Linked DNA regions of Ovis aries. The protein of the gene in region 4 binds, or shares a complex with, the protein of the main gene of each other region. Links are inferred from orthologs where the notes say so. Each region holds a gene or a part of one and is shown on either strand. Other genes may lie near its edges.

Evidence for each region.
Region 1: SNRNP200 (region 4) and LSM8 share a complex: the UniProt entries of both Homo sapiens proteins name them as parts of the U4/U6-U5 tri-snRNP complex. The link is inferred for Ovis aries from reciprocal best matches to the Homo sapiens genes SNRNP200 and LSM8.
Region 2: SNRNP200 (region 4) and TXNL4A share a complex: the UniProt entries of both Homo sapiens proteins name them as parts of the U4/U6-U5 tri-snRNP complex. The link is inferred for Ovis aries from reciprocal best matches to the Homo sapiens genes SNRNP200 and TXNL4A.
Region 3: SNRNP200 (region 4) and CWC15 share a complex: the UniProt entries of both Homo sapiens proteins name them as parts of the minor spliceosome. The link is inferred for Ovis aries from reciprocal best matches to the Homo sapiens genes SNRNP200 and CWC15.
Region 5: SNRNP200 (region 4) and LSM7 share a complex: the UniProt entries of both Homo sapiens proteins name them as parts of the U4/U6-U5 tri-snRNP complex. The link is inferred for Ovis aries from reciprocal best matches to the Homo sapiens genes SNRNP200 and LSM7.
Region 6: SNRNP200 (region 4) and PLRG1 share a complex: the UniProt entries of both Homo sapiens proteins name them as parts of the minor spliceosome. The link is inferred for Ovis aries from reciprocal best matches to the Homo sapiens genes SNRNP200 and PLRG1.
Region 7: SNRNP200 (region 4) and U6 snRNA-associated Sm-like protein LSm3 share a complex: the UniProt entries of both Homo sapiens proteins name them as parts of the U4/U6-U5 tri-snRNP complex. The link is inferred for Ovis aries from reciprocal best matches to the Homo sapiens genes SNRNP200 and LSM3.

The regions. Positions count from the first base shown.
Region 1 is NC_056057.1:84,396,384-84,400,759, forward strand, and holds the start of LSM8 (LSM8 homolog, U6 small nuclear RNA associated), read left to right. Parts: upstream 1-1,482; 5' UTR 1,483-1,547; coding exon 1,548-1,578; intron 1,579-2,731; coding exon 2,732-2,772; intron 2,773-4,376. UniProt on the Homo sapiens protein: Plays a role in pre-mRNA splicing as component of the U4/U6-U5 tri-snRNP complex that is involved in spliceosome assembly, and as component of the precatalytic spliceosome (spliceosome B complex).
Region 2 is NC_056076.1:701,272-705,534, forward strand, and holds the start of TXNL4A (thioredoxin-like protein 4A), read left to right. Parts: upstream 1-1,370; 5' UTR 1,371-1,449; intron 1,450-1,927; 5' UTR 1,928-1,942; coding exon 1,943-2,095; coding exon of another isoform or gene 2,096-2,174; intron 2,175-3,805; exon of another isoform or gene 3,806-3,866; intron 3,867-4,164; coding exon of another isoform or gene 4,165-4,234; intron 4,235-4,263. UniProt on the Homo sapiens protein: Plays a role in pre-mRNA splicing as component of the U5 snRNP and U4/U6-U5 tri-snRNP complexes that are involved in spliceosome assembly, and as component of the precatalytic spliceosome (spliceosome B complex).
Region 3 is NC_056068.1:15,092,326-15,096,606, forward strand, and holds the start of CWC15 (spliceosome-associated protein CWC15 homolog), read left to right. Parts: upstream 1-1,400; 5' UTR 1,401-1,550; exon of another isoform or gene 1,551-2,001; intron 2,002-2,770; 5' UTR 2,771-2,793; coding exon 2,794-2,924; intron 2,925-3,563; coding exon 3,564-3,676; intron 3,677-4,275; coding exon 4,276-4,281. UniProt on the Homo sapiens protein: Involved in pre-mRNA splicing as component of the spliceosome. Component of the PRP19-CDC5L complex that forms an integral part of the spliceosome and is required for activating pre-mRNA splicing.
Region 4 is NC_056056.1:104,063,634-104,068,061, forward strand, and holds the start of SNRNP200 (U5 small nuclear ribonucleoprotein 200 kDa helicase), read left to right. Parts: upstream 1-1,603; 5' UTR 1,604-1,733; coding exon 1,734-1,778; intron 1,779-2,302; coding exon 2,303-2,466; intron 2,467-3,988; coding exon 3,989-4,160; intron 4,161-4,428. UniProt on the Homo sapiens protein: Catalyzes the ATP-dependent unwinding of U4/U6 RNA duplices, an essential step in the assembly of a catalytically active spliceosome. Plays a role in pre-mRNA splicing as a core component of precatalytic, catalytic and postcatalytic spliceosomal complexes.
Region 5 is NC_056058.1:19,032,351-19,036,686, forward strand, and holds the start of LSM7 (U6 snRNA-associated Sm-like protein LSm7), read left to right. Parts: upstream 1-1,465; 5' UTR 1,466-1,484; coding exon 1,485-1,490; intron 1,491-1,637; coding exon 1,638-1,728; intron 1,729-4,260; coding exon 4,261-4,332; intron 4,333-4,336. Other genes in the region: SPPL2B (signal peptide peptidase-like 2B), read right to left, coding at 1,259-1,465. UniProt on the Homo sapiens protein: Plays a role in pre-mRNA splicing as component of the U4/U6-U5 tri-snRNP complex that is involved in spliceosome assembly, and as component of the precatalytic spliceosome (spliceosome B complex).
Region 6 is NC_056070.1:3,080,021-3,083,661, reverse strand, and holds part of PLRG1 (pleiotropic regulator 1), read right to left. Parts: intron 1,420-3,641; coding exon 1,270-1,419; intron 1,180-1,269; coding exon 1,078-1,179; intron 741-1,077; coding exon 638-740; intron 1-637. UniProt on the Homo sapiens protein: Involved in pre-mRNA splicing as component of the spliceosome. Component of the PRP19-CDC5L complex that forms an integral part of the spliceosome and is required for activating pre-mRNA splicing.
Region 7 is NC_056080.1:116,710,590-116,713,174, forward strand, and holds U6 snRNA-associated Sm-like protein LSm3, read left to right. Parts: upstream 1-1,367; 5' UTR 1,368-1,380; coding exon 1,381-1,689; 3' UTR 1,690-1,992; downstream 1,993-2,585. UniProt on the Homo sapiens protein: Plays a role in pre-mRNA splicing as component of the U4/U6-U5 tri-snRNP complex that is involved in spliceosome assembly, and as component of the precatalytic spliceosome (spliceosome B complex).

The DNA.
Region 1 (4,376 bases), on a different chromosome or scaffold from region 4:
ACCTGAGGAGAGGGAAACTTTGGGGTGTGGTGAAAGACTGTTTCCTAAGGAAGACTCACACTCTACCATTTGGATTCAGTCCCTATTAGCTCAGACTGTCAAGCATCTGACTCAGTTCAGTCGGTCAGTCGTGTCCGACTCTTTGTGACCCCATGAATCGCAGCACGCCAGGCCTCCCTGTCCATCACCATCTTCCGGAGTTCACTCAAACTCACGTCCATCGAGTCGGTGATGCCATCCAGCCATCTCATCCTCTGTCGTCCCCTTTTCCTCCTGCCCCCAATCCCTCCCAGCATCAGTCTTTTCCAATGAGCGTCTGCCTGCTGCTGCTGCTGCTGCTGCTAAGTCGCTTCAGTCGTGTCCAACTCTGTGCGACCCCATAAACAGCAGCCCACCAGGCCGGGGTTCTCCAGGCAAGAACACTGGAGTGGGTTGCCATTTCCTTCTCCAATGCATGAAAGTAAAAAGTGAAAGTGAAGTCGCTCAGTCGTGTCCGACTCTTAGCGACCCCATGGACTGCAGCCCACCAGGCTCCTCCGTCCGTGGGAGTTTCCAGCAAGAGTACTGGAGTGGGTTGCCATTGCCTTCTCCAGAGCGTCTGCCTACAATGTGGGAAACCCGGTTTTGATCCCTGGGTCCGGAAGACCCTTTGGAGAAGGAAACGGCAACCCATTTCAGAACTCTTGCCTGGAAAATCCCATGGACGGAGAAGCGTGGTAGGCTACAGTCCACGGGGTCGCAAAGACTCTGACACGGCAGAGTGACAAAATGAATGAGTGACAACGCCGCCGCGATGCACCATTTAAAAATTTTTTTTAACAACAAAAACATTTGTATTGGGGTATAGCCCATTCACAATAACAATGGTTGATAGTTGCGGGTGAACACGATGCAGCACTTTTAGAAGCAAATGCAAACTGCGAACATGCTTTTAACTACTGACTTCTCCAGATATGTATACCATACGGTACAACTGTGGAACTTTGTCCGGGGTCGTTTAGCTTCTAAAACGTTAATTTTCGGCCTCTGCAGTACAAAATTAGGGATTCCACATCCGGGCGTCTACACTTCATACCAGAACAGCACTAGTCTCTACTTCACTTGTGGGGAAAAAAACACACACAACAAAAACCTTATTCGGTTTTCTCCTGCCTTCCCCATCTTCTCTCAACATTTCCCCTTAGTAACTTCTGCCACTAAAGCCTTCCATTCCGCTATGAAGCGCGCTCGCCCACCTTCTCCCCATCTTCAGGGAGCTTCTTTCTTTCTTTCTCCCACCGCCCGTTCTCTTTGGTTCTTTCCGGCTTCCAATATCACCCGCAAGAGCAGAAACATACTGCACACGCGCATTAAGGCCGTCGTCGCTTTGCATCTCGGGAATGCTTGGCCGGTTTCTTTCAGTCTCTGATTCGCGGAGGCCGCCCTGCGGTAGTTCTCGCGGTATTTGCTGCCGCCAGTCGGCGAGAGAGGCTGCTGTTCCCTGGCGGTCCTTTCTAGCTCATCTGGACGCCGGGGCTCTTGTGTTTCCAGTTGCCAGGTCGCGTATCATGACGTCCGCCTTGGAGAACTACATCAACCGTACCCTTCAGTCGGCTATCGCGGGCATTAGCTAAGGCCTTGGTGAGGCCCACGTCTGGCCCCGGAGTGGACCAGTGCTGGAAAGGCCAGGGGTCGGGATCGGCGGGCGGTTGGGGCACCGAGCCACTGACGGGCTTGGGTCTCGGGGTGGGGATACAGAGGTTAAGGAGGCTCACCCCTGGGACTGGAGCCCGCAGCTCCTGCTGGTCCAAGGCGTCTTAACTTGATGGAAAAGCCGAGCAAAACCGACAAGATTATTCTGAACTTTTCCGTGTCTCTATAGAAATCAGTTATTGATTCACCCTTTCCATTTCCCTCGGGCCTATACGTTCACGTTTGGGAATAAGATAGTTTTACCAGCTGCGACGGTGGACTCACAAATCTATGTGTTTGTTTTATTCATAGGCTTTGCTCAGTCTTCAAGGATAGCAGAAACTTTACAGATGATGCAAAAATCGAATGTCTGCCCCTTTACCAGCTGAAATCTCAACTTTATTGTTGATGGAATTAAAATAATGCTTGCTGTTGTAATAGATCGGCTTGTGGGGCAAATAGCTTTAAAAAGCTCCTGTAATAGTACTCTATGCACCATTTTAAAGTCTCGGGACAGAAACATTACGTTGTGCTCTCATGTACAAATTTGGGACAAAAGTGGAATGCTAAAGGTTTTTCTTTTTAAATGATGCAAGCATATTGATACTTGTGATATTGATTATAGTTTCTTTTGAATTCCAGAAGGCAGGTCCTAGAAGACAGTGTCTTAACGTATTAAATCATTTGACATTGAATAGCACTCATCCAATTTTCGTTTCAGAGATGATGAAACAGGTTTAAAAAAAGGAAAAATATCTTGCTCAATTTTCATATTTGCAATATTCCCTCATTAAAAATGAGTACCAAACATCCCAGCTTGTTTTAAGATAGAATACACTGATCTCATAAAAAGGATGTTTTCTATTTTTCCTTTTTTAGATTGTGTAGTTGTCACAGAGAATTAAGAACATACAATTTTATGTTGTAAATGTGGCTGTGTTAAATAGTTGTATCTTAATTCTGTCACCTTTTTTCCTAGTAATTTAAGCCATTTACTTACCAGATTTTAAGTTTTCAGTTTGCATTCCCTTAGAAATGCTTTCCTTGATTCAGTTATCAGGAACTGTTGCTGTCATTACTTCTGATGGGAGAATGATTGTGGTAAGTATTTGGTGTATTCATTCTCTGCTTTCTTTTAGGCTTTTCTGCCTGTGATGCTCAGTTGTCCCAGACTCTTTGTGACCTCCTGAAGTGTAGCCTGCCAGGCTCCTCTGTCCATGAACTTTTCCAGGCAAGAATACTGGAGTGGGTTGCCATTTCCTGCTGCAGAGGATTGTCCCAACTCAGAGATCAAACCCGGATCTCCTGCGTCTCTTGCATTGGCAGGTGGATTCTTTGCTGCAGTGCTACTTGGGAAGCCCACTCTTGAAGGCTTACTGGTTGTAAATTTTTATGTACAACCTCTGATCTCCAGTGCCTAGGCACCAGAGTACACCTGCATTGCAGTTTTCTTATGATTCAACTCTTTATCTCTTTGATAAATAGCTGCCAATCCGTTTTTTTTTTTGTTTTTTTCATTAATAAACATTGGCTGTAAGTTACATACAAGGCTTCTTCTAGAAGCTTGGATGAATAACAGAATCTGCCCTTAGAGAACTTCTGGTCTAGTCTGCAGATATTTGTCTATATTTTGTATTTATCTTGCTTCATCTTTTATTTCCTTCCTCATTTAGTGCTCTGACATCTACTACATGAATCATACAGGTTGTTTTTTTTTTTTTTTTTTTAAATGTGTGTGTGTGCTTTTTGGAAACTTTTAAAAAAGATTTAGATACTACCTCTATATAATGAACATTTAAGACATGTACATTGTTAATCTTCAGATATTCTTAGGTTGTAGAATCTCGTGCTTCTGTAGAATAAATTATGATGAATATTGAAGTGTATTTCATCTCATTTTTCCTTTTATCGCTGTATCCCATTTTAATTCCAGAAAAGTCTTGGATTCTCTCCTTGATCTGAGGAATTTATTCCATGATTTTTGGTGGCTTAATTTCATTTATAATTCATGATTGTTAACTTTCAAAAAAGTTTTAAGGCTGCTAAACTTTATTGTCTTCTATAATTCATAGAATTTGTTCTTCTATCTTCCTACTCTGCAACTGATGTTTTTTTCTTTTTAATCCTTGGGGTTTTTCTCAGTGGGTCCTTAAGTGGCAATTACCAAGTGTCAGACTTTGCCATTTATTAAACATGTGTCATGTACCAGGCATGTCCCGTGTGTTACATCACTTAATCCTAGTACAACTCTGTGAGGAAGAACTAGCCCTGCATTCTAAGCTAAGAACCTGGATCAGAAAAAGAGTCACTTTCCCAGAGTCATATGAATGTATGTGGCAGAGCCAAACTGGGATTTAAACTAAATTTGACTCCAAAGCCTAAGGCCAGTCGCCTTGCTTCCTTTTTAATCAAGAGAGCAGTCATGGTTTTGTTTATTTTTTTAAGGTACTTCACATTGTATTTTGTCAAATTAAGAGAGTTTGAAATATTTTAATCTCATCTTAACTTTGAGAAGTTATAGCTATTAAGAAATATTTGCAAATAGTTTTTTAGTTTGTGGAAACCTTGGGTTTAAAATTTTTTTTTAATGGTATAGATGATAAATTGGAAATTTGTTTTAACTTTATAGAAGGAAAGCCATTTAAAAAGAACATTTCGAGAACTAAAGTTCAGCAGTTCTGTATTCCTTTGACACATATTTCACT
Region 2 (4,263 bases), on a different chromosome or scaffold from region 4:
CTGTGAAGAAAGCTGAGCGCCAAAGAATTGATGCTTTTGAACTGTGGTGTTGGAGAAGACTCTTGAGATCCCTTGGACTGCAAGGAGATCCAACCAGTCCATTCTAAAGGAGATCAGCCCTGGGTGTTCTTTGGAAGGACTGATGGTAAAGCTGAAACTCCAGTACTTTGGCCACCTCGTGCGAAGAGTTGACTCATTGGAAAAGACTCTGATGCTGGGAAGCACTGGGAGCAGGAGGAAAAGGGGACGACAGAGGATGAGATGGCTGGATGGCATCACGGACTCAATGGACGTGAGTCTGAGTGAACTCCAGGAGATGGTGATGGACAGGGAGGCCTGGCGTGCTGTGATTCATGGGGTCGCAAAGAGTCGGACACAACTGAGCGACTGAACTGATACTATTTAAATTTTACGATAACAATATGACCAACCTAGACAGCATTTTAAAAAGCAGAGACATTACTTTGCCAACAAAGGTCAGTCTAGTCAAGGCTACAGTTTTTCCATTAGTCATGTATGGATGTGAGAGTTGGGCTATAAAGAAAGCTGAGCACTGAAGAATTGATGCTTTTGAACTGTGGTGTTGGAGAAGACTCTTGAGAGTCCCTTGGACTGCAAGGAGTTCCAACCAGTCCATCCTAAAGGAGATCAGTCCTGGGTGTTCATTGGAAGGACTGATGCTGAAGCTGAAACTCCAATACTTTGGCCAACTGATGCGGAGAGCTGACTCATTTGAAAAGACCCTGATGCTGGGAAAGACTGAGGGCAGGAGAAGGGGAAGACAGAGGATGAGATGGTTGGATGGCATCACCGACACAATAGTCATGGGTTTGGGTGGACTCCGGGAGTTGGTGATGGACAGGGAGGCCTGGCATGCTGCGGTTCATGGGGTCGCAGAGTCGGACACGACTGAGCAACTGAACAACAAAAAATGTTTAGAAATACTAATTTCAATAACTTATTTGGGGGGCATTTGCGTCTTACCAGTACTCTTCTGTTAATGAACCGCTTTTCACAAGTAAAGCAACTGTGCTTGCGTCTGGAAAGCAGGGCCTCCAAAATAATTAGGGGGCTCTGTGTGGGAGTGAACGGCGACGAGCCCTTCTTCAGAGAGGTTATCCTCTTCGTTCACTCCCTGGTCCCAGTCGCACCGAGGAAACTTGAACGCCGACTCACTGGAGACACAGTAGGTCTGAAGCAGCCGCCGCCTCTAAGACGCTCATGACACTAAACCCACCTTCAGCCCCAGTACCTGAGCGGAGTCCACGCCCCTGCCCGGCCCGGGCGCGCGCACGCACTGGCCGGCGCACACGCTCTGCGGGCGCGCGCACGCACTCGCCGGCGCTCACGCTCTGTGGGCGGGCGGGCTCACTCGCCGGCGCTCTCGGCCTGTGGGAGCGCTCCGCGCCCGGAAGGACTGCTGAGCGGGAGGGTCCGGTGTGGGCAGAGGTGGGTGCGCGGCTGGAGACGGTGGGAAGGGGGCGGCGAGTGATGCGCGGGTGTGCGATTCCAGGGGTCCCCTCGCCTTGGTTTCTTGGCCGGGGGACAGTGGCGTTCCTGTGGCGGGATCGGGGTCGGAACTTGGTAGACGCGGGCCTGGCCCTGCGGGCGGCGCATCGACTGCCCCTCGGGGTGAGCCCCCGTGAGCCGGGGGCTCCGTGGGCTCCGTGGTGAGGCTCCGTGGGCTCCGTGGTGAGGCTCCGTGGGGTGGGGCCCCCGTGGTGAGGCTCCGTGGGCTCCGTGGTGAGGCTCCGTGGGCTCCGTGGTGAGGCTCCGTGGGCTCGGTGGTGAGGCTCCGTGGGCTCCGTGGTGAGGCTCCGTGGGGTGGGGCCCCCGTGGTGAGGCTCCGTGGGGCGGGGGGTCCCGTGGGTGTGCCATGGGGGGGCTGGGAGGAACTGGCCGGTGATTTCCCTCCACTCCCCCGCAGACCCATTGGCTCAAGATGTCGTACATGCTCCCGCACCTGCACAATGGCTGGCAGGTTGATCAGGCCATCCTTTCGGAAGAAGACCGCGTGGTCGTCATTCGATTTGGGCACGACTGGGACCCTACCTGCATGAAGATGGATGAGGTTCTGTACAGCATTGCTGAAAAGGTAAAGCAGCCACACCTCCCGTCACGTCCTGCCGCCAGGTTTGGTGTTTGCATCCTGTCGGATTGCTGTTGTTTTGCCGGTAAGAATTAAAAGTACAGCCAGTTCACCGGTTAAAGAGAAGCAGTAGGATTCACAGAAGTACAGACATACCTTGGAGTATGAGGATGGGCTCCCTGAAATTGGTCAGAATAGCTTATATCCTTACTGGCAGAAGTTTCCATAGATTCTCAAATTTTTAAGAGGTTCATGATGTCTCTCCTTGAAGAAGTGATTCTTATTAATTTATAGCGGTTTTAACTCATAGGTGTTTTCAAAAATTTACATCTATAGTGCCAGGAGCAAAACACGTTTGCAGCATTTGGCTGAGTGTAGGAGCTTACTTTGAATGGCTTAGTTTAAAAAACTTGACTTTTTTTTGGTACCGTGTTTGTTTGTTGTATGTATTGAGCAGAACATCTATGGTAACAACATAGTAAATTCCCTTCTTTTTCTTTGAGTCCCTTCTTTACCCCAGGGTGCTCTTTGTAAGTGACTTGATTTATAGCTTAGAGTGATACCAGTGTAGGAAACACTGGGAAAAGGTAGAACTGTAATGTTAGAACTAGTTTTCCTAATCCTTAAATTTAGTACAGGGGGTTGTCTGTGGCCCTTTGCTGACAATAAAGAGCAATTGTAGGGTACTGTTGAGTAACTAGGGCTTAATTCTCTTTCTGTAATTGTCTCATGGGTATTTTAAGGTAAATTTGATTTAGATTTTTGCAACTGTAGTAATAGGGCAAGAGGCAAAAATATTAGGGTATTAATAAAAAGTTTAATATTCAATGTTAATTTGAGAGGTTATTCATTTTATTAAAGAGTATAAAAATAAGGGAAACATTGAAGCCATCATTTATTTCACAGGAGTAAGATATGCTAGTATGGGCTGGATTAAAATAACTCCTTTGAGTAAAGAGTAACAGGTGTAAGGATATAGTTTGTATTTAGGAATTGAAAAGTAGTCTGACCTGCCATCAGTAATTTTCACTGTCTCCTCTTTGGTAGGACAGGCAGAGTGAGGTAGGGGTGATGGCACTCTGAACATTAGGGACTATCTTTCTGTGTCTGTCACCGAAAGTGCATCTCAGAGAGTCTGATCCTGGAGATCTGAGATGAGATCCAGAAGCTCCCCCAGGAATTCTGAATCCCTTCAAGGAGATCCAAGTCAGAGCAGGAGTCTGTGGTGATAACCTTACCCTCCTCTTCCTCTTGGACAGAAAGGTGTTGAGGGAGCTTGAAGAGATGCCTGGGGAACTCAGGAGAGCAGGGTTCTTCCAATTGGGTCCTCCCTGTCAGGTCCGAGGTCAGGAGTGAGGTGGTGCCCAGAAGTCATTTCCCCATGACTTGAGCCACAGTGGTTAAGGGCAGAGACTGCAGAAGTCAGTGATGATGGATGAAGACCCTGTTTCAGTAAGTGAATCACTGCTGTGTGGACGCTGATGTAACTTAGGTGGGTGTTCTGGGTTCTGCCTTGCAGGTGACAAGTAAGCATCAGGGGATGTCCAGACCCGGTGGCCCTCAGCACGAGGCTAGAATGGCAGAGGCGTGAGGGTTGTTTGCTGTTCATATCTGAGCAAAACTCAGCAAGATACTCTTAGCTAGGAGACAGATTTTGTGTCAGTGTAAGTTTTTAGGGACTTTTACCAGAATTGTTCTTTTCTAATCCCTATGTAGCGGTCAGAGACCAGATTGCTATACTGCTAGCAGGTGGCTCTTTTTGGAATGGAACCTGTTGGTAAGAACAGTTTAATTGGGCTCACTTGGAGTATTTTTCTCTAGTCTTTTAAGTGATTCTTTTTCTTTTATCCCGATTTCTATTTTAATAAACTTCTAATACTATGTAATAGTATAGTCTTTAAAAATGCAAACTTGAAATGCGTTACACAAATGTTAATGTTCTATTTTCTGCTTAGTGTAAGGGCAGAATATGAGTTTATAATTTTGGAAGCCCTTTTTGGGGACGTTCAACAGGAATTTTTGAAATCTAAGGTTTTAGTATAAAGAACAATTTAACTGTCTATCTCCCTCTGCAGAAATGGCAGATAATGGGAGATCTTCCTCATCTTGTTACGAGCTCTGTTTGGATACCCCAGCTGTTTTAAAGTGAGTAAAATTCCAACATTGAGGCTGGA
Region 3 (4,281 bases), on a different chromosome or scaffold from region 4:
ACACTACTTGGTTCACGATTTTAAAAGATCACTCTCACTTTTACAGGCAAAGTTAACTGTGGGAGAAAAGTGGGAGCAAGAAGATCATTAGGGGACAATTACAATCCAGGTAGAAAATGATGCTGGCTTGGACTAAGGCAGTGGAATGAAATTTGGGGTATATGCTGAAAGTAGAATTGGGAAGACTTGCAAGTAAACTAGATGAGAAAAGTGAAGGGAAAGGGATTTAAGAGGAGCGCTGGGATTCTGGTTTGAGTAACTAGCCTGATGGTAGTAGTGTCCTTTACTGAGATGTGGCAGATTAGGAGAGTAATTAATACCTTTGGTAAGAAAAATCAAGATTAGCAATTTGAATTTTATGAGGGAAGGGACTTTTTCTATGCTTTGTTTCATTTAACGTTCAAGGAGTTCTGGGGGCGTTGGTGGGGAAAGCTTTTTTCTGTTCGATGTTATGAGCTCTTTACATTTGAAACTAAGGTGGGGGGAGTTCAATTTTCATTTGTTTAACAAATATCTACTGAGCATCTACTGTGGCCAAGGATTATGTGATTAGATACCAAGTTGAACTGGAAAGGCAAACAAAATCCATGCTCCCAGAGGGCTTTTGGTGGGGGAAGGAGTTAGGACGATTGGTGATTTTTTAATTTTCCTGTTCGTTACCTTATGAAAACTTTCCCTAACGCATGAGTAGCCATCTTACAATAGTAACTGCATCTAGGGCTCCTGGCAGTTGGGCCACCGTTCTAAACGTTCAATGTCTGTTAGTATATAAATGAATCTCGACAGTGACACCTCCCCTCCCACTAGAACTTAGGCTTTTATAAAAAGTAAATATTTTAACGAACGTTACGAATACAACCTTCGTTGTGAAGACTAATATTTTTGCAGGAATGGTACCTTTATAAAGATCGTGGTTGCCCCCGTACATATTTGTTCTTTCTTCATATCCAATTAAATGCAAATACTACTTTCCGTAGCCCAACTCTCTAGGCTTGTTGGGTCTAGCTCAGGAGTAAGGAAGCAGGAGCCGTTGGATTTAAACAGTTTGGTGTAATCCTTTTCTATGCTCTCTCGCTAGCCGGGGACTTGGTGTCGGCTACTCGGGGCTCTTCGTTTACGCAGTACCGGAATGAAGGAATCTGGGAGGGGGTCGGAAAAGGAAAAGACGGAACACACATTAATTGACTCTCGAAGCTACACAACAACGTTCAGGGTCTACTCTAAAGCACTGATTTCAAATGCCCGCCCCCTGGGCCGTTTAAGCCCCGCCCCGTGCGTCGTCACTTCGACTTCCACCTTGGTCTCCGCTGACTGGTCCTTGCCTCCGCGGGCGCCTGACGAGCTTGGGGTTTGCTTCCGGGTCTTGGGATTTTTTTTTTTTTTTTTTTTGGGCCGCGGGTGCAGAGGTTTCTGGGAGCGGAGAGTCAAGATGGCGTCTGTATGATCTCCGGAGGTAGCGGCGTTGGAGTTCGGCCAAAGTGAGCGGCAAGAGGAAAGCAGACTGTGGGTTGGACCGTAAGGGGCAGTTGGCGGCGGAGGCAGAGAACTCGGTGCGGGCCCTGGAGGCGCCAGACGAGGAAAGCCTAGTGTGGGTGGGGCCGGAAAGGGGTAGTTGGGGGCGGAGGCAGAGAATCCAGTGCTGACTGAGCGGTCCCCACAGGGGCCTGACGGGGAAAGCGGCCTGTGGGCGGGGCCGGAAGGGGCAGCTGGGGGCGGAGTCAGCTAACCGGGTTTAGGCCGCGGAGGCCCAGGAGCTGCAGACCGGAGAGCCATCTGTCGGTGGGGCCGGAAGGGGAAGCTGGGGGCGGAGTCAGAGAGCCCGTAAATGCGGAGGAGGCGGTGGAGCTGCGAACTGGTGGTGGGGCTCCGCGCCTAGCGAGCGTGTCCCTGGTCTCCGATCGGCTCCCGAGAGCGCAGCGCCAAGGCATCTCGGCAGAGGGCCGCCCCTCGCCCCCTGGGATAGGGGTGAAGAGTCAGCGAGTTCCCTGCGACAGCCCGGAGGTGAACTCCCCGCCCCAGGGATGACTGTTTTGGGGGGGAGGCGGCGATGCTCCCCAGAGACCTGAAACCCTGTTTCTGTCTCTCTGGATACATCCCTCTCCCTTTTTTTTTCCCCGGAAAATCTAGAGAAGTATATCATTTCCCCCAGTTTTTCCCTGACACTTGCTTCTCTGACGCTTGAGGATGTTTCAGTAACCACAAACGGGTCCCTAATTTTTGGTTATTACAGTCCTTTGAGGGTGGGCTCTTGTGTTTCCAGCATTTCTTAAATTGTAACTTGGAAAAGATCTAATTTATATTATGTTGGCTGCTACTGGAGGAAATTTGATCAACAAAAGATTGTTGGAGATATTTGCCTATGTAACTGTCATTGAAGCTTAACACACTTTTTTTACTAGAACACTCAGTAACTTTGTCAGTGATTTTTTTTTTAAGATGTCTTTGCTTTTGTAGTTGTTAGCCTGTTCTGCTGTGTGAGGTTTAGATGAAATGGGAGTAAGGAGTCCGGTGGCGTGAGGTTGAGTGGAGATGTTTTAAATTCAGACATGGCTGTACTGTATTTTATAAAGGTTTTGATATGTCACGTCTCCTGATTTAATAACCTTTTGAGGAATATCCCCATTTCACAGATGACAGAAACTTAAACTTGGTGGCTTGCCAGGGGTCACAGATGTTTGAGGGAATGAGCTAGGGAAATTATTTCACAAGGATGGCTATAGATTAATGCTTTTCAAAATGAGAGTTTGTCATATTGAAAATAACTTGACAGTGTTTTTCTTCAAAGCATAAAAGATGACAACAGCAGCTCGGCCAACTTTTGAACCTGCAAGAGGTGGAAGAGGAAAAGGTGAGGGTGATTTGAGCCAACTCTCAAAGCAGTATTCAAGCAGAGACCTACCCTCTCATACAAAGATAAAATATAGGTAATGAAGCCTTTTAGTTTTTGTTTCACAAGCAAGACCAAGTCTGTTAAATGATGTGGTCATGAGGTAGCATGTTGGGGTTACTATCACTCAAGTTATCTGTTTTCATAGGAGTAGAATGTAGTAGTGTTTCAGACACCCAGAATTATGCTCCATGATTTTAAAGTGCTACCAGATATTCCTTAAGCAGAAATTCCAGTTAACCAGGAATTTCTATATGTAGATTGAACAATGACTAATAATACATTCTGTCAGGAGGAGCAAGCACTATCAATACAAATCAGTATGAGATTAAAAGTGTTGCTGTAACAAGCCCTGAGTTAGCATACTAACAAAAAGTATAAGCGTTTTGATCAACCTGCTGCCTTACTATGGGAAAGTATGTTGATTTAGTTTGAGGTTCTTAAAGGTTGTTGATTTAGTTTGAGGTTCTTAAAAGTATGTTGATTTAGTGTGAGGTTTTAGACATCACAGGATGCCTCTTAGTAACTTTTGGATTAGACTGATGATTTTGTTTATCCCCTAGTGGAGTTTTCTGCTTTAGGACTCAGGCTGAAGTTGTGTTTCTTGAATTGTCTTCCATTACTACAGCCGTGTGTTTTTTAGAAGTAACTTTGCCTTGTCTTGTTTCTACTTTAGACAGACCACTCAGGATGCCCCTGAAGAAGTTCGAAACCGTGACTTCAGGAGAGAGTTGGAGGAGAGAGAGAGAGCTGCTGCAAGAGAAAAAAACAGAGATCGGCCAACCCGAGGTACCAATACTACCTTAGACATCTCTCATAACATTATGTTGACAGTAGTTTTTCTTTCATGTGGTAATAGGAATGGATTATTATTTTTGTTTGTTTGCTTTTAAATGTGGGGTGAGAGCTATAGCAGTTTCTTGAAAGATTAGATTGGATTGGATTGATTGGATTAGATTATATTGGATTGGATTAGAGATGATAATGAAGTTGATACCAATTTCATCTTATTATGCCTCTGTTTTAGAAAGAGCTAGGGGATATTTAGCAACTGTTATTTCAATTCAGATTAAGGAGTTTTTGACTATTTACAGCAGCCAGACTTTTTAAGGCCCCATGGTTTCTGTCTATGAAATTCTTCCATTTTTATTTCTAGCATGTGTAAACTGTATCCTAAGTTTCCTGAGGCTACAGTTTCCATAATAAAATCAATACTTTTGTTAACTCATTCGGCAGGTATTTGTCAAGGACTTACTTGCCTGCCACTGTTGTTATAGTCCCTACTGTCATGTTTAAGACCTAAGCTCTTGGTGCCCACAAGTCCCTAAAATGTTACAAGAAATGCAGGATTTGATTCAGTGAGTTAACTATTGTTTGTTTTCTGCCAGAACATA
Region 4 (4,428 bases):
TACTGATCTGTTTTCTGTGACCCTTATGTAATTTCCATGTGTCAGGTGGGTTCTGTGTTACCAGCCTCTAACTGGAGATTGCCTTAGCACACAATCTAAGTATCTGTCAACAGTAAAGTTTCACCCATTTGCATGAAAAAAATGTAGTTAATAAAGCAATTAAAAAAAAAAAGCAAACAGGCTCCAAGTAACCATTCAGCTCTTCATCACCATTCCACGTAACTGTTATTGTTCAGTCTTTAATTGTTCTTACTTAGTCTTCTTCGTGTCTGACTCTTTGTGATCCCATGGACAGCAGCGTGCCAGGCTTCCCTATCCTTCATGTTAGGTAAAAGACGACCAGGACCCTGAAAAGAGTGTCTAACAGGCTTTTTAATGGCGAAGCGCTCCCGGGCGGGGTTCCCGGACCGGAAGGAGGCAGGTCGAGGAAGTCCGCGCCCGACCGTGCTGCGGGTGGCTTTTGTACGCTAGTTGCGAGGGATGGTCAGGCTAGATGGATGGGGGTTTGGATAGGTCGCCAGGGCGAGGCGTCGCGGGCTGACAGGTCCTTCTGCGTGGCTGGGGTGGGGCGGCTTTAGCCGGCGAGGTGTGCTGTCATTGGTCCCCGGGATCCGGGAGGCGCCCTCCCTTCGGGACTTCCCCCGCCGGCCGGGAAGAACAGGGGCGGCTCATCACGGCAACCAGCGAAGTGTGCTGTCATGGTCCCCGGGATCTGGGAGGATCGTTGCGTTAGGGACCTTCTCGCTGACAGGAGGGAGCGGAGGGGCGGCCCATCACGGCCCCCGGGGTCCGACCTTACACTTCACTATGTCCCTGAGTTTGCGCACACTCATGTCCATTGAGTTGGTGATGCCGTCGAACCATCTCATCCTGTGTAGCTAACCCTTCTCCTCCTGCCCTCAATCCTTCCCAGCATCAGGGTCTTTTTTACAGAGTAGAACTGGTTGACTAGTGGTAGGAGGGCAGAGGTGCCTCTTGCCCCTCTCCATGGCGGGGGATGGGGGTGCGGGGCGCTTCATTGTTGGAGAAGAAATTAAGTCACTGTCTTCGACGAGTTGGCCCCGGCGGGAGGGCAGCTACTTCCTTCCCTGATGTTCCCGGGGCCTTGGAAAGGGCCCTCCTGCAGAACGTGACAGGCATTTAGGGGCAAAGGGGAGTCGCCTGGGTGCCCAGAACGAAGGTCGCGGAAGCATGGGTTCTAGGTGGGGGTAGGTGAGGAACAGAGCTTTGTTATCAATTGTTTAATACAGAGGAAAAACCGAAAGGAAGATAACACACATACGCACGCACGCGCACACGCGCGGTTCAGTCTGTTGCAAGGTGCGAGTTCCCTCAGCCAGAAATCCGGCTCATTAGCCTGCATAGCTCATAGGACTGTTACCAGAGGAAGAAGGGGTTAAAAAAGCACTTGGGACAGGATAGGGTGCTAAGCAGGCGTACGTTTCGCTTGATGTGGGAAGTCTTTGGGAGCCGCAGGCCAGAGCCCAGGAGAGTACGGGCCGTGGTTCCGGAACCATCGTTCGAGGGTACCAGGATTCGCCGGTCCCAAACCGGAGCGCAAGCGCCCGGTCTATTTCCCGCCTGCACTTCCGGCGTCCGACCCGGAAGTGGAAGGGAAACCATCTTGCTCTCTCTCTTTCGGCCGAAGTGCGTCCCGCCTGCTTCGTTCCGGCACCGTTTGTTAGCGTGTGGTCCTGGGAGCGGAGTTCTGAGACTCTTGAGCAGCCGCGGCCATGGCGGATGTAACCGCCCGTAGCCTGCAGTACGAGTACAAAGCGGTGCGTATGGGCTCGGCAGAGGGCTCCGGGCGGGGGAGTCTGATAGGGAGCGGGAGGCTGAGGAAGGGGGTTTCAGTCTAAAGGTAAACGCGAGAACCGCGAAAGCAGAGGAGAAGTCAGAACCTGGCGAAGGTGGGGGTACACGGCGATGTGAATGACCCCACTGGTGATTGGGGCTCAGCTCTTACCGGCGTGGGCCAAGAGCTCTGCGAGGAGTGTTTGTCCCAGTCCCGGCAGCGCTCTTCCCGCCCCCTTCCATGTATCATCCCCAACGTGCCCGACACTTTTCCCACGTGGGAGTTATTACGAGCAGTATTAGAAGCAGTGATTGTTATGTTGATTTGTTTGCCCTTTGCTCATGCGCGATCATACGATGCGCTTCTCAAGGAAAACATCTTTTTATTTCGACTAGTGATTATCGACACTTAGTCGCTCAGATTCTTCCTTTGCTGTCAGCTGGCAACCCTGTGATATAGTTGAGTCCTGCTTACCTCAGAGCTTCAATAATATTGTGGTCTTTTCAGAACTCGAATCTTGTCCTCCAAGCTGATCGCTCTCTCATTGACCGGACCCGCCGGGATGAACCCACAGGAGAAGTGCTGTCCCTGGTGGGGAAGCTGGAGGGCACCCGGATGGGAGATAAGGCTCAACGAACCAAACCACAGATGCAAGAGGAAAGAAGAGCTAAGTGAGTATCAAAGGGAAAAAATGATTTTTCCTCAGATGCAGAATCCATTTTCCCTTGGTATTTGAGCAGTGCTTTTGCTGAATTGCTTGGTGCAGGATGAGCCATCAGTGGCATTAAGACAACTCAGTGAAGGTAACAACATAAGAATGGAAAGATTCTTTGGCCTTAACAAGTGTACCTGAAGTGGAAAACAGCTTTTAGACCCTTTTCCAGCATGTGTTTCTCATCCATCAGCCGCTCAGTTGTGTCCGACTCTTTGCGACCCCATGAATCGCAGCACACCAGGCCTCCCTGTCCATCATCATCTCCTGGAGTTCACTCAGACTCACCTCCATCGAGTCCGTGATGCCATCCAGCCATCTCATCCTTGGTTGTTCCCTTCTCCTCCTGCCCCCAATCCCTCCCAGCATCAGAGTCTTTTCCGTTGAGTCAACTCTTCTCATGAGGTCCCAAAGTACTGGAGTTTCAGCTTTAGCATCATTCCTTCCAAGGAAATCCCAGGGTTGATCTCCTGCAGGATGGACTGGTTGGATCTCCTTGCAGTCCAAGGGACTCTCAAGAGTCTTCTCCAACACCACAGTTCAAAAGCATCAGTTCTTCGGCGCTCAGCCTTCACAGTCCAACTCTCAGATCCATACATGACCACAGGAAAAACCATAGCCTTGACTAGACGGACCTTGGTCGGCAAAGTAATGTCTCTGCTTTTGAATATACTATCTAGGTTGGTCATAACATCCATAGAGAGATCTTAATTTTCTTGATGGTATTTTCAAGACTCTTGGTAAACTCTTGTCAGAGTAAGTCTTTCCTTCTATTACTGACTTTCCGCTACTTCTTTGGCTTGCTGTTGCCTGCTTTTTCTTTTGTTGTTATAAACTACCATTTGAGCGTGAAAGGCTGGTGTTTTGTTTTGCTTTTTAGTTGGTTTTTTACCTTGGGGAAGGGGGATATTTTTCCAGACTTTAAAGAATCATTGAACTTTATCTCATGGTTATCCTTTGAGCCTGATCATCATCTGTCCCATGATGAAGTCTCAAAAATTCATAGGTCCAGTTTTGATTAAAGCAGTTATATTTGAGATGAGTTACTTATCATTGGTCCTCCATTTTGCAGAGTATGACTTCTTTTCCAGGAATCAATGGCAGTAGATTCCTTTGGAGCTTCAGTTCTCTGGCAGGGAAAGGAAGATGTGTCTGAGGGATGAAAACTAGTCAAATCCGATCATATAATGTTGTGATACAAAGTAGAAAGGGTTGTCTTTTTAAATGAACGGGGGGGATGTCTCAGCATGCAGTGCATCTAGTGAGAGGATGACGGGATTCCCTTGCTCTTACCGTGTTCCCGTAGAGATACTGCCGCAAGTGACTGAGGCCCGATGGGCATCATTTGCTGAGGCACACATTTGTGGTTTTAAATACTGCCTGTGAATCATGCAGCTGAGAAGGGGAGCGTGGGCTTGCCTTAGTCTTACCATTAACAGGGAAGGTTCTACCTGTTCAGTGTCATACTGTGTGTTTGTTAGGCGAAGAAAGCGTGATGAGGACCGGCACGACATCAACAAGATGAAGGGTTACACTCTGCTCTCAGAGGGCATCGACGAGATGGTGGGCATCATCTACAAGCCCAAGACCAAGGAGACCCGGGAGACCTATGAAGTGCTGCTGAGTTTCATCCAGGCTGCCCTTGGGGACCAGGTAAGGCAGCCAGAGGGTGGAGCCACGCGTTTTTGGAGAGGGAGGAAGTCATAGCTAGGAGGCCCCAGAGGAACCTTGTTTGTGGATTTTTCCTGTGTGGGCCATACCAATATGCGGAAGTGGCTGGTGTTCACTTTACGTGACGTAGCACTTTTTGTGTGTTCTCTCTTTCAGTCTTGTTAACTCTGACCTGGTGCTATTAATATTCATTTTTTATTTTGCTGGAGGGATGTGCGGCAAAGGATACTTAAGTAACTTTCTCAAGTCA
Region 5 (4,336 bases), on a different chromosome or scaffold from region 4:
TATTTAGAGAGCTCAAAATCCCTGCTTCCAATGGGTCAGACTGCTGAGGGAGACGAGCAAATAGGGCTGGGGGAAATACAGGGAGCTGGCAAAGCACCTGGGGAGGAGGTGGGTCAGAAAGCTGCTGGAATGTGGCACCCCTAAGCTGAGACCAGAAACACAACGTTGGAGGGAGTTAGGTTTCAGGGAAACAGAGCCCAGTGAGCAAAGTGCCTTTAATATGCTAGAGTTGGAAACAAAGGATGGTTTCCTGTCAGCCGGATCACAGAGTCCTCCTGAATGTGTCAGTGGCACCAGAAAGCTCTCATTTGGACACAAGATCTGACACACTTTGAAAGAGATCCCTCCTGCAGGGCTGAAAATGAACTGGGAGTTTGGGGGACAAAAGCGGCCTTGGAGAGAAGCCAGCAGCCTGAAGCAGAGGTTGGGGGGCTGGCACAGAAAGGGCAACGTTAATGGCCCAGTTTGTAGGGCTGTTGGTGGGGGGGGCACCATTTCCGGAGTTATGGAATTTGGGAGAGAGGGAGGGTTTGGAAAATAAAAAATGCACTCAAGGTAACGTACATCAGCCATCTCCAGGTCTGTCCCCCAGTGGCGACCCTTGAGGTTAAGTGACAAACAAGTAGCATGCCCCACGTCCGGGATCCCCTACATCATCTCGCTGACTGCGCACTGTACACTTATCCTCCTTTTGCAGACGACCAACTCAAAGCGGGAACTCCCCTGCCAAGGTCACGGCAGAAAAAGATGGGGCGGCGATTCGACCCCATTCCAGGGCTGGGCTCCTGGACGCTTCTCGACGCCGCCAGTCACTGGGTGCCACGCTGGGCAGTTGACTACAACCACGGGGAATGGGGGTAGTATCGCTTTCAAGGGGATGCCAGGGTCAGAGAGGGGTAGCCCCCGACTAAGGCCACGGAGTCAGAGAGGGGAGTCCCAGAGGCGGTTGGAGACCCCGAGACAGACCAGCAGGGGCCGGGGCGGAAGCGGGGTAGTGGGACCTAAAACTTTAGGTCCGGGCGGAACCCAGTGACACCACGGCTGGGAACGGCGTCCAGACAGAGAAGGGAGACCGGCCGGGGGACAGACCCGCAAGGTCACGGTCGGGCCCCAGGCCCACGGGTTGCCGGCACCGGGGGCGCGGATCCCCTAAGCTGGCCCCAGGCCGGTCAGGGCGGGGTTCTGCGCGGGGCCAGGGAGGGGTGAGAAGCCGGGGCACCGTGGCCGGCGAGGCCAACGGGGTCGGCGCCGCCCTCACCTGGGCCGCGAGGAGAAGGAAGGCCGCTGCGAGCCGCGCCAGCGCCGCCGCCGCTGCCGCCGCCGCCATGTCGCCCGGTCCCCGCCACAGGCGTCGGCAGATGTTTCCCAGCAACGCCCCGGCGCAGAGCGCCGCGCAGGCGCCCTGCGTCTTTCGCGCATGCGCGCAGGGGTAGGTACAAAGGGCGCAGTGGCGGCGCCTGCGCATAGCGACGCGGCGCGACAAGATGGCGGTGAGCGTGCGGCGCTGCTGGTGGGGTTGGCGGGTTTCGCCGGGCTGGCGGGGTTCGCCGGGCTGGCGGGGTTCGCGGGGCTGGTGGGGTTGACTGGGGAGAGTCCAGCCGTGCTCCCCGCTTCACAGCGTTCTGCATCCCCTGCAGGACAAAGAGAAGAAAAAGAAAGAGAGCATCTTGGATCTATCCAAGTACATCGACAAGACCATCCGAGTGAAGTTCCAGGGAGGCAGAGAAGGTGAGGCCCCGCTGCCCTCCCCCTCCACAGTCCACGAGGAGTAACGGGAGGCGGTACCGGTAACGGATGCCTGGGCCGCGCTTTAGGCGCTTGGCTCGGACAACTCGTCCGGCCTGCTGCCGGCGCCGGCGTATAGGAACGGTTACACCCCTTTTGCAGGTGGGAAAACTGAGGCACGCAAAGGGGCCCAAACCTCGCCCGCAGCCACAGGGGCTAGGATTCAGGTCTCTGCTTCCTTTGGGTCTTGTCTCACCCTGGCGGCTGCCCCAGCCCCCCATGGGCCCCCTCAGCACCAGGGTTTCTCAGTTTCAGCACTGCTGACATTAAGACCGTATTGTTCTCTGTAGGGGGCCGTCCTGGGCGCTGTAGGGTGTGGAGCAGCATCTCTGGTCCCATCCACTCGATTCCAGGAGCCTTCTAGTTCTGATGACCACAGGCATCCCAGACCTGGCCTGGTGTTCCCTGGCAGGGGCAGAATTGCCCCAGTTGAGAACCCAGGCCCTATACTCAATTTACACGAAGCCACCTGAGGCACCTTTTGAAAGCAAACCTCATCTCCTTGTTCACCACTGTTCCAGGGTAAAGAATGAGCCTTTTGCTTTTGAGTGAGGCAGGCAGCTCTCAGCTGCTTTGGGAAGCTCTGCTTGACTCTGCATCCCAAGTCAGGGTCCTTTGGTATAAGCTCCTGGTAACAGCTGTCAGGGCTTGGCAGGTTTTTTTCAGTTACTGTGAGGCTTTAACTGCATCTCCCTCTGCGATCTCGTGAGGAGACTGGCAGGAAAGATGATGCAAGGTTACGTGGAGAGTGCCGTCCAGGGCAGAGCCCCAGCTCACTGGCTGTGGGACTTTGGGCAAGTCGCTATAATCTCTGAGTCTGTCTCATCTGTCAGAGGCTGTTAACTCCACTTACCTCAGCAGTGGTGGTGAAATTAAAGGGTAATGTCATTAGCCAAGTTCCTGACACTTAGTCAGCACCCAGTGCTTCACTTATTCAGCTATCTCTGATCTTCAGTTTCTTTGTTGGTAAGATGGTGATTCAGACGACTCCTCCTCTGAGATGTGGACGCCTGGGTAGCATCAGAGTGGCTAAAAACACAGTGCCTGCCCGTCTAGGTACCCAGCCCAGTGAGGCTCTGAATCTGAACAAACACTGGCACCATGCCGGTTCTGGGATGTACAAGGAGATGGGGCTCCTGCTTCTCAAGGCGCTTGTGTTTGTCTTTTTTTAATTAATTTAGCTGCATAAGGTCTCAGATGTCAGGCCAGGTCTCTCTAATTATGCCATATGGGCTTAGTTGCTCCATGGAATGTAAGACCAAGGATGGAACCCACATTTGCTGTACTGCAGAATGAATTCTTAACCACTTGGACCACCAGGGAAGTCCCTTCTGTTCATTTTCTGTGCTTCAACAACCCATTTTTATCTCACAGCACCTGTGGTTCCAGACTCCAGGTGCCTCAGGCTCAGGTCTCTGACGAGGTTGCAGTAAGGGAGCATCTCTGGGAGCCTGTATCTCAGGCCCGGGGTCCTCGTTTTCTGGCAAGTGTTGGCCAGGGACCCTCTGGGCTCCTAGAGGCTGCCCACTGCCTCTGCCACAGACACTGTCCACAGCATGGCAGTTGACTCCTTCAAGGCTAGCAGAAAAATCTAATTTTTTCAACTTCTCTTTTCAGAAAGGGCCCATCCTTTTAATGGCTCACCTGTAGGTCAGGCCCACCCAGCATAGCCTCCCTTTAGATCCACTAAGAGTGGACTGATTCATGGACCTTGATCACATCCACGAAGCCCTCTGTTACAGCCTGACCACAGACTGACGTCTGATCGAGGGTCCCATCTCACATCAGAGGGAGGGGTGGGGGAATGCTGGATTCATCTGAAAATCCCACCCACCTGCTGCGGCACCTCCCCCAGTAAGAAGGGAGGATCCACAGGTGTGGGCTCACTACCCAACCCGGGGCCAAGTGCCCAGATGGATTCTGGGATTTGTCACTCTCCATCACCCCACTTGGTGAGCACCGTCACAGGGTTGAGGAGGGCTGTCAACAGCAGAGGAAGCAGAGCCAGGGCCTCGCACTCAGGCAGGCCTGGCAGACTTGTTCTGCAGAAGACCAGACAGGGAACATTTTCAGCTGTGCTGGCCAGACGGTCTCTGTCGCAGCTCCTCAACTCCACCATTCAGCAGCTGAGCTGCCACAGCGACATTTACCAAATGAGCGGGGCCGGGCTCTAGTTAAACTGTTTACAAAACAGGCGCAGGCGGATTTGCCGACTGTTGCAGTGGCAATGGTGTGGGGTCAGCTGTCACTGCTCGTCTCCTGGGAGCCCTTCCCTTGCTCCCCCTTTGGTCCTGCATCTGTCCTGTCCCTGAAGAGGCTGCTGCCACGCCTGCGTCTGGCTGGGGGGTGGTCCCTCACCAGTGAGGGCACCCCAATTTCATGTGCTGACACCCTCGTGCAGCTCGCACTTTACCCAGAATGACCATTGATCTTATGCTTGTCCATCTCTCTTCTCTGCTTGGTGATTCCGATAAGCCAGTGGAATCCTGAAAGGGTTCGACCCGCTGCTCAACCTCGTGCTGGACGGCACCATCGAGTACATGCGAGGTGA
Region 6 (3,641 bases), on a different chromosome or scaffold from region 4:
AAAAAAAGAATGCAAAAGGTAAATATAATAAAACCTGAAGCATTCTTCTACAGACACATATATATAAAACAAAAGTCCTATCAACCTTTGACTAACTGCTTTCTATTCTTTCAAAATACCTGGTTGATTTTAATTATTAAATGTAATCAACGCTTAATCTGAAGAGCCAGAACAACTGTGAAGACAAATGCATAACGTCATTCCTAGTGGAGAGGAAGGCAAAGACTCTCATGATTATTTGAACAAAACAAGGGAAGGAATTATTTTCTAGTCTTGAAGATTCATTGCTATTAACCATATTTTAAGCAAAGCAAGACTCAGATCAGTCCTAAAAGTCAGGGGTAGTGCGTCTTCTAACATTAATTTCTTAGACTGCTAATTTTGAAAGTATAAAACAGCACTTAGTTGTATCTAACAGCACTACTTTCTAGTCAGACATTACATGATACAAAGATTCTATGATATATAAAACTTATGATATAAAAACAGAATTAAATGTTACCACAATAAATTTCAAGTGCACACAGAAACACTAAATATACAACACAAAGCAAGAATCAGAGTAAACATAAGAAGTATATAACCATAATGCATCCTGATATGAATATACCGTAAACTTGAGAAGTATGGATCATACCAGTGATAATTTGTGGTTCCGCAGCCTGACACCTCACTGTAGCCACCGCATTAGTATGTCCAGATAATGTGTGTACACTGGCTTTAGTTCTCACATCCCAAATCTATAAAAACAGCACACAATACCTCAATGAAAACAGGTATTCCTATCTTCAGGCAAGTAACAAGATCAATTCAAGCATGGGAATTGACTAGAAAACTGTGTGGACCTGTCTGAATAGAATGAAGAAAGTGTGTAAATGAAATAACCTGTCACATTTCGGGGGCAGGCGCCCAACAGTGGACATGGCGAGGCCACAGAGCTGGGGATGAAGACTAGGAGGGATACTGACGGGTCAAAGTAAGGATCTTGAAATTCTCTATCCAGAAACACAGACCTCAGGATCGAGCCAGCACCCTGCAGGAGGCCGTGTATGCACAGACGGGCTCCAGTGCACTCACCCGTGCGGTTGAGTCTCGGCTACAGGTCACCAGCACATCGATGGTCGGGTGCAAATCCAAGCCGTACACGGCACTCAGATGTCCATGATAGTGCCTTATAACCTAAAAAAGAAGGGAGGAGAGTTAACATATCTGTAACTGGGAAGATAAACAGGGGCTCATGATGATTTCTGTCCTCAACTCCACACATACCTTATTATACTCGAGATCCCAGCATTTGACTTGCTTGTCTTCTCCACAGGAGAACAGGTACGGGCTCCTCGTGCTCACTATCACACCACGTACTGTGCTTATGTGCCCAGTTAACGAGAGTTTCAACTTGCCACTAGCCAAGTCCCAGATCTGCAATCAAAAAATGCTTAATTTTATTCTTGCTGATTATTTCAAAGCAAATGTTTAGAATCTTAATGTGAAAATTGTCTTCAAAAGTGAAAGACAAAAACATATAAAAATATCAAAGTTTGCAAAATAACTCTATCACCAAAAATAAAAACAGGAGAAAGAGAATTAAAAGGCATGCTCAAACTGGGAAGGTATTTGCATAGATGACAAAAAGTCCTTAATATATAAAGGGTATTGAGCCAAAGAATGAATACTGAGGTATTAAATTAGTCAAGGATGGCATCAACTTAAAAAAAAAATCCTGCAAAGTAGCAAATAAAGTATTAAAAAGTTCAACCTCACTACAAATTTTATATATAGTTTTCCTTTTTAAAGATTAGATATTCCTTTCTACTTATATTAGTGTGCTAAGTTGCTTCAGTCACGTTCAACTCTTTGCGACTCTATGGTCTGTAGCCTGCCACGCTCCTCTGTCCATGGGATTCTCCAGGCGAGAAACTGGACTGGGTTGCTATGCCCTCCTCCAGGGGATCTTCCCAACTCTGGGATCAAACCCACATCTCCTACACTGCAGGCGGATTCCTTACCGCTGAGCCACCAGGGGAGCCCATCATATTAGTAGGTATTTTCGAAGAAACGTAAGTAATGTCCTGAAAAGGATCCTCTCATATGCTGTAAGCATCAATTCACCCAGTTTGGAAAATAATTTAACTTTTGGATATCAACTTCAAGAATGTCTGACCTTTTAATACTTTTTCTGGCAAACAAGAACAAAGCAATACAGAAAATACAGAAAAACAATACAGAAAATTTAAAATACAGAAAAAGCTTTCAGTTCAGTTCAGTCACTAGTTGTGCCCGACTCTTTGCGACCCCATGAATCACAGCACGCCAGGCCTCCCTGTCCATTACCAACTCCAGGAGTTCACTCAGACTCACATCCATCGAGTCAGTGATGCCATCCAGCCATCTCATCCTCTGTCGTCCCCTTCTCCTCCTGCCCCCAATCCCTCCCAGCATCAGAGTCTTTTCCAATGAGTCAACTCTTCGAATGAGGTGGCCAAAGTACTGGAGTTTCAGCTTTAGCATCATTCCTTCCAAAGAACACCCAGGGCTGATTTCCTGCAGAATGGACTGGTTGGATCTCCTTGCAGTCCAGGGGACTCTCAAGAGTCTTCTCCAACACCACAGTTCAAAAGCATCAATTCTTCAGTGCTCAGCTTTCTTCACAATCCAACTCTAGCATCTATACATGACCACTGGAAAAACCATAGCCTTGACTAGATGGACCTTTGTTGGCAAAGTAATGTCTCTGCTTTTGAATATGCTATCTAGGTTGGTCATAACTTTCCTTCCAAGGAGTAAGCGTCTTTTAATTTCGTGGCTGCAGTCACCATCTGCAGTGATTTTGGAGCCCAGAAAAATAAAGTCTGACAGTTTCCACTGTTTCCCCATCTATTTCCTGTGAGGTGATGGGACCAGATGCCATGATCTTCGTTTTCTGAATGTTGAGTTTTAAGCCAACTTTTTCACTCTTCTCCTTCACTGTCATCAAGAGGCTCTTTAGTTCCTCTTCACTTTCTGCCATAAGGGTGGTATCATCTGTATATCTGAGGTTACTGATATTTCTCCTGGCAATCTTGATTCCAGCTTGTGCTTCTTCCAACCCAGCGTTTCTCATGATGTACTCTGCATATAAGTTAAATAAGCAGGGTGACAATATACAGCCTTGATGTACTCCTTTTCCTATTTGGAGCCAGTCTGTTGTTCCATGTCTAGTTCTAACTGTTGCTTCCTGACCTGCATATAGGTTTCTCAACAGGCAGGTCAGGTGGTCTGGTATTCCCATCTCTTCCAGAATTTTCCACAGTTTATTGTGATCCACACAGTCAAAGGCTTTGGCATAGTCAATAAAGCAGAAATAGATGTTTTTCTGGAGCTCTCTTGCTTTTTCCATGATCCGGTGGATGTTGGCAATTTGATCCCTGGTTCCTCTGCCTTTTCTAAAACCAGCTTGAACATCTGGAAGTTCACGGATCACATACTGCTGAAGCCTGGCTTGGAGAATTTTCAGCACTACTTTACTAGCATATGAGATGAGTGCGATTGTGCAGTACTTTGAGCATTCTATGGCATTGCCTTTCTTTGGAACTGGAATGGAAACTGACCTTTTCCAGTCCTGTGGCCACTGCTGAGTTGTCCAAATTTGCTGGCATATTGAG
Region 7 (2,585 bases), on a different chromosome or scaffold from region 4:
TGAACAAGACAGACATGGTCTCTGCTTCTGTGGAGTTTAAAATTTAGCAAGAGAGATAGTCCTTAGTAATCACAGTAATGAATGTGCTCAGTAGCTCAGTCGTGTCCAACTCTTTGCAGCTGCATGTAGCCCGCCAGGCTCCTCTGTCTATGGGATTCTCCAGGCAAGAATACTGAAGTGGATAGCCATTCCTTTCTCCAGGGGATCTTCCCCACCCAGGGACTGAACCCGGGTTTCCTGCATTGGTGGGCAGGTTCTTTACCATCTGAGCCACCAGGGAAGCACCCATGACTTAGTACAGCAGGGATACTAAGGCAGACATGTGGACTCCTTTGTTGGACAACTTTGGCTCAAGGTCTTGCAGAAGTTTCCTTAGACTGCCTGGTAGTCTCAACTGCTTCCATACATCCTTTTCTCTTCTTTCCCTCCTTACCAGTCAGGCTTCACTCACAGCTCCTTCTCTATTTTCTTTTTTTTTAAATATAAATTTATTTATTTTAATTGGAGGTTAATTACTTTCATACAGTCATTTCTCCTAATAAAATCTTGCCGTGTTTAATCTTGTTTTGACAAGAGCTTCTTGGAGGTGTAGAATAACATAAGTAGAGTGGGTATTTGAGATTCAGGAAACAGTGTTTACTTCCTAGGCCTAGATCTGAGTCACATGACTTGGTAAGAAAACCCAAAGCTGTGAGACTTCAAGAAAACTTAATGTTTGGTAGCTGTATATGCATGACCAGGTTATCAGGAATAATAAAGTCAAAAGGGGTGAGGAGGAAGATGCTGGGGCACTGGCTGCAAGCCCTGTCGTTGCCTTCTGCCATCCAAAAGCTGGGGAAAGATCTCTGAGTGTCTTGGGGAAGCTAGTATTTTCATTCGGCACCATCTTACGTGGCTGGCTCTGGTTTGTCGGCCTGGCTCCAGATGTCATTCTTTTCCTCCATGATTACCAAGTGGTTGCTACATCATCACGTGAGAAAATACTGGGTAACGCAGTAGAGAATTTGGGATCCAGGCTTTACTTCTTTCCTAAAGATGATCTCATTTGGTCAAGGTCTGTCTTCCAACTTCCAAAAATCTCATTTTTCTTGGTTTCAGCTTTTCCACAAGTTCTTTGCTATGTCTTTTGTCTTTGTAAACATGAAATGTTTTATTTTCTTCACTCAATTAAAATGCGTTTTGTGGGGACTTCCCTGGTGGTCCAGTGGTTAAGAAAGACTTCACCTTCCATTGCAGGGAATATGGGTTAGATCCCTGGTCAGGGAGCTAAGATCCCACATGCCTTGTAGCCAAAAAAACATAAAACAGAAGCAATATTTTAACAAATAAAGACTTTAAAAACGGTCCACATTAAAAACAAAACTTAAGAGGGTTTGAAAGATGGCGGACGACGTGGACCAGCAACAAACCACCAACACTGTGGAAGAGCCCTTGGATCTCATCCGGCTCAGCCTGGACGAGCGCATCTACGTGAAGATGAGAAACGACAGAGAACTTCGAGGCCGGTTACACGCTTATGATCAACATTTAAATATGATATTGGGAGATGTGGAAGAAACTGTGACAACTATAGAAATTGATGAAGAAACATATGAAGAAATATATAAATCAACAAAACGGAATATTCCGATGCTCTTTGTGCGGGGAGACGGCGTTGTGCTGGTTGCCCCGCCATTGAGAGTTGGCTGAAACGAGAATCCGCCGCCTGTGGGAGACGGGCTGTGCTGTGCGGTGGCCTCTTTGAGTGTGGAAGATGTTCCAAAGAGAGACCGATGTGCATCTTGATGCTGAAAATAAGCAAGAATTCTTCCACTCCTGAAATAAGTTGATTTGTAGATAACTCACAAATACTTCAGCTAAACGGCATTTTTATTTTTCTCCAACCCTTCCAATAAATGTGATCGGCGCGATACAGAAAAAAAAAAATAAATAAAAAAATAAAAAATAAAAAAAATAAAAAAAAATAAAAAATAAAAACAAAACTTAAAAAAATATTCATATGTTTTCAGCTCTTCCTTTCTTTTGAATTCTTTTTTTTTTTTTTTTTGGTGGGGAGAAGTACAGTTGCTTTACAATGTTGTGTTAGTTTCTGCTGTACAACAAAGTGAATCAGCTATATAGCTCTCTTCTTTCCTTAATATTTATTTATTTGTTTGTTTGCCCTGGGTCTTAGCTATGGCACACAGGATCTTCAATTTTGTTGCGACATGTGGGTTCTTTTAGTTGTGACATGTAGGATCTAATTCCCTGAATGGGGATTGAACCCCAACCCCCTGCATTGGGAGCCATGTGTCTTAGCCACTGGACCACCCAAGAAGTCCCACAGCTCTCTTCTTGAAGAGGCAGGTGTGTGTTCTGAAAAGAATGGGAATGGAGATGGAATCTCGACTCTACCACTTCCTACATGTGAGACTTCGTGGAAGTTAATTTTATGAGCCTTGATTTTCTTGTTTATAAAATGTAGATAACACCACCTACCTCCCAGGATAGTTGTGAGGATTAAATGAGTTATGGTATATAAAAAAGACCTTGTACATAGTAGATATAGAAAATATTAGTTCCCTTTTAGCTCCCATACCAATGAA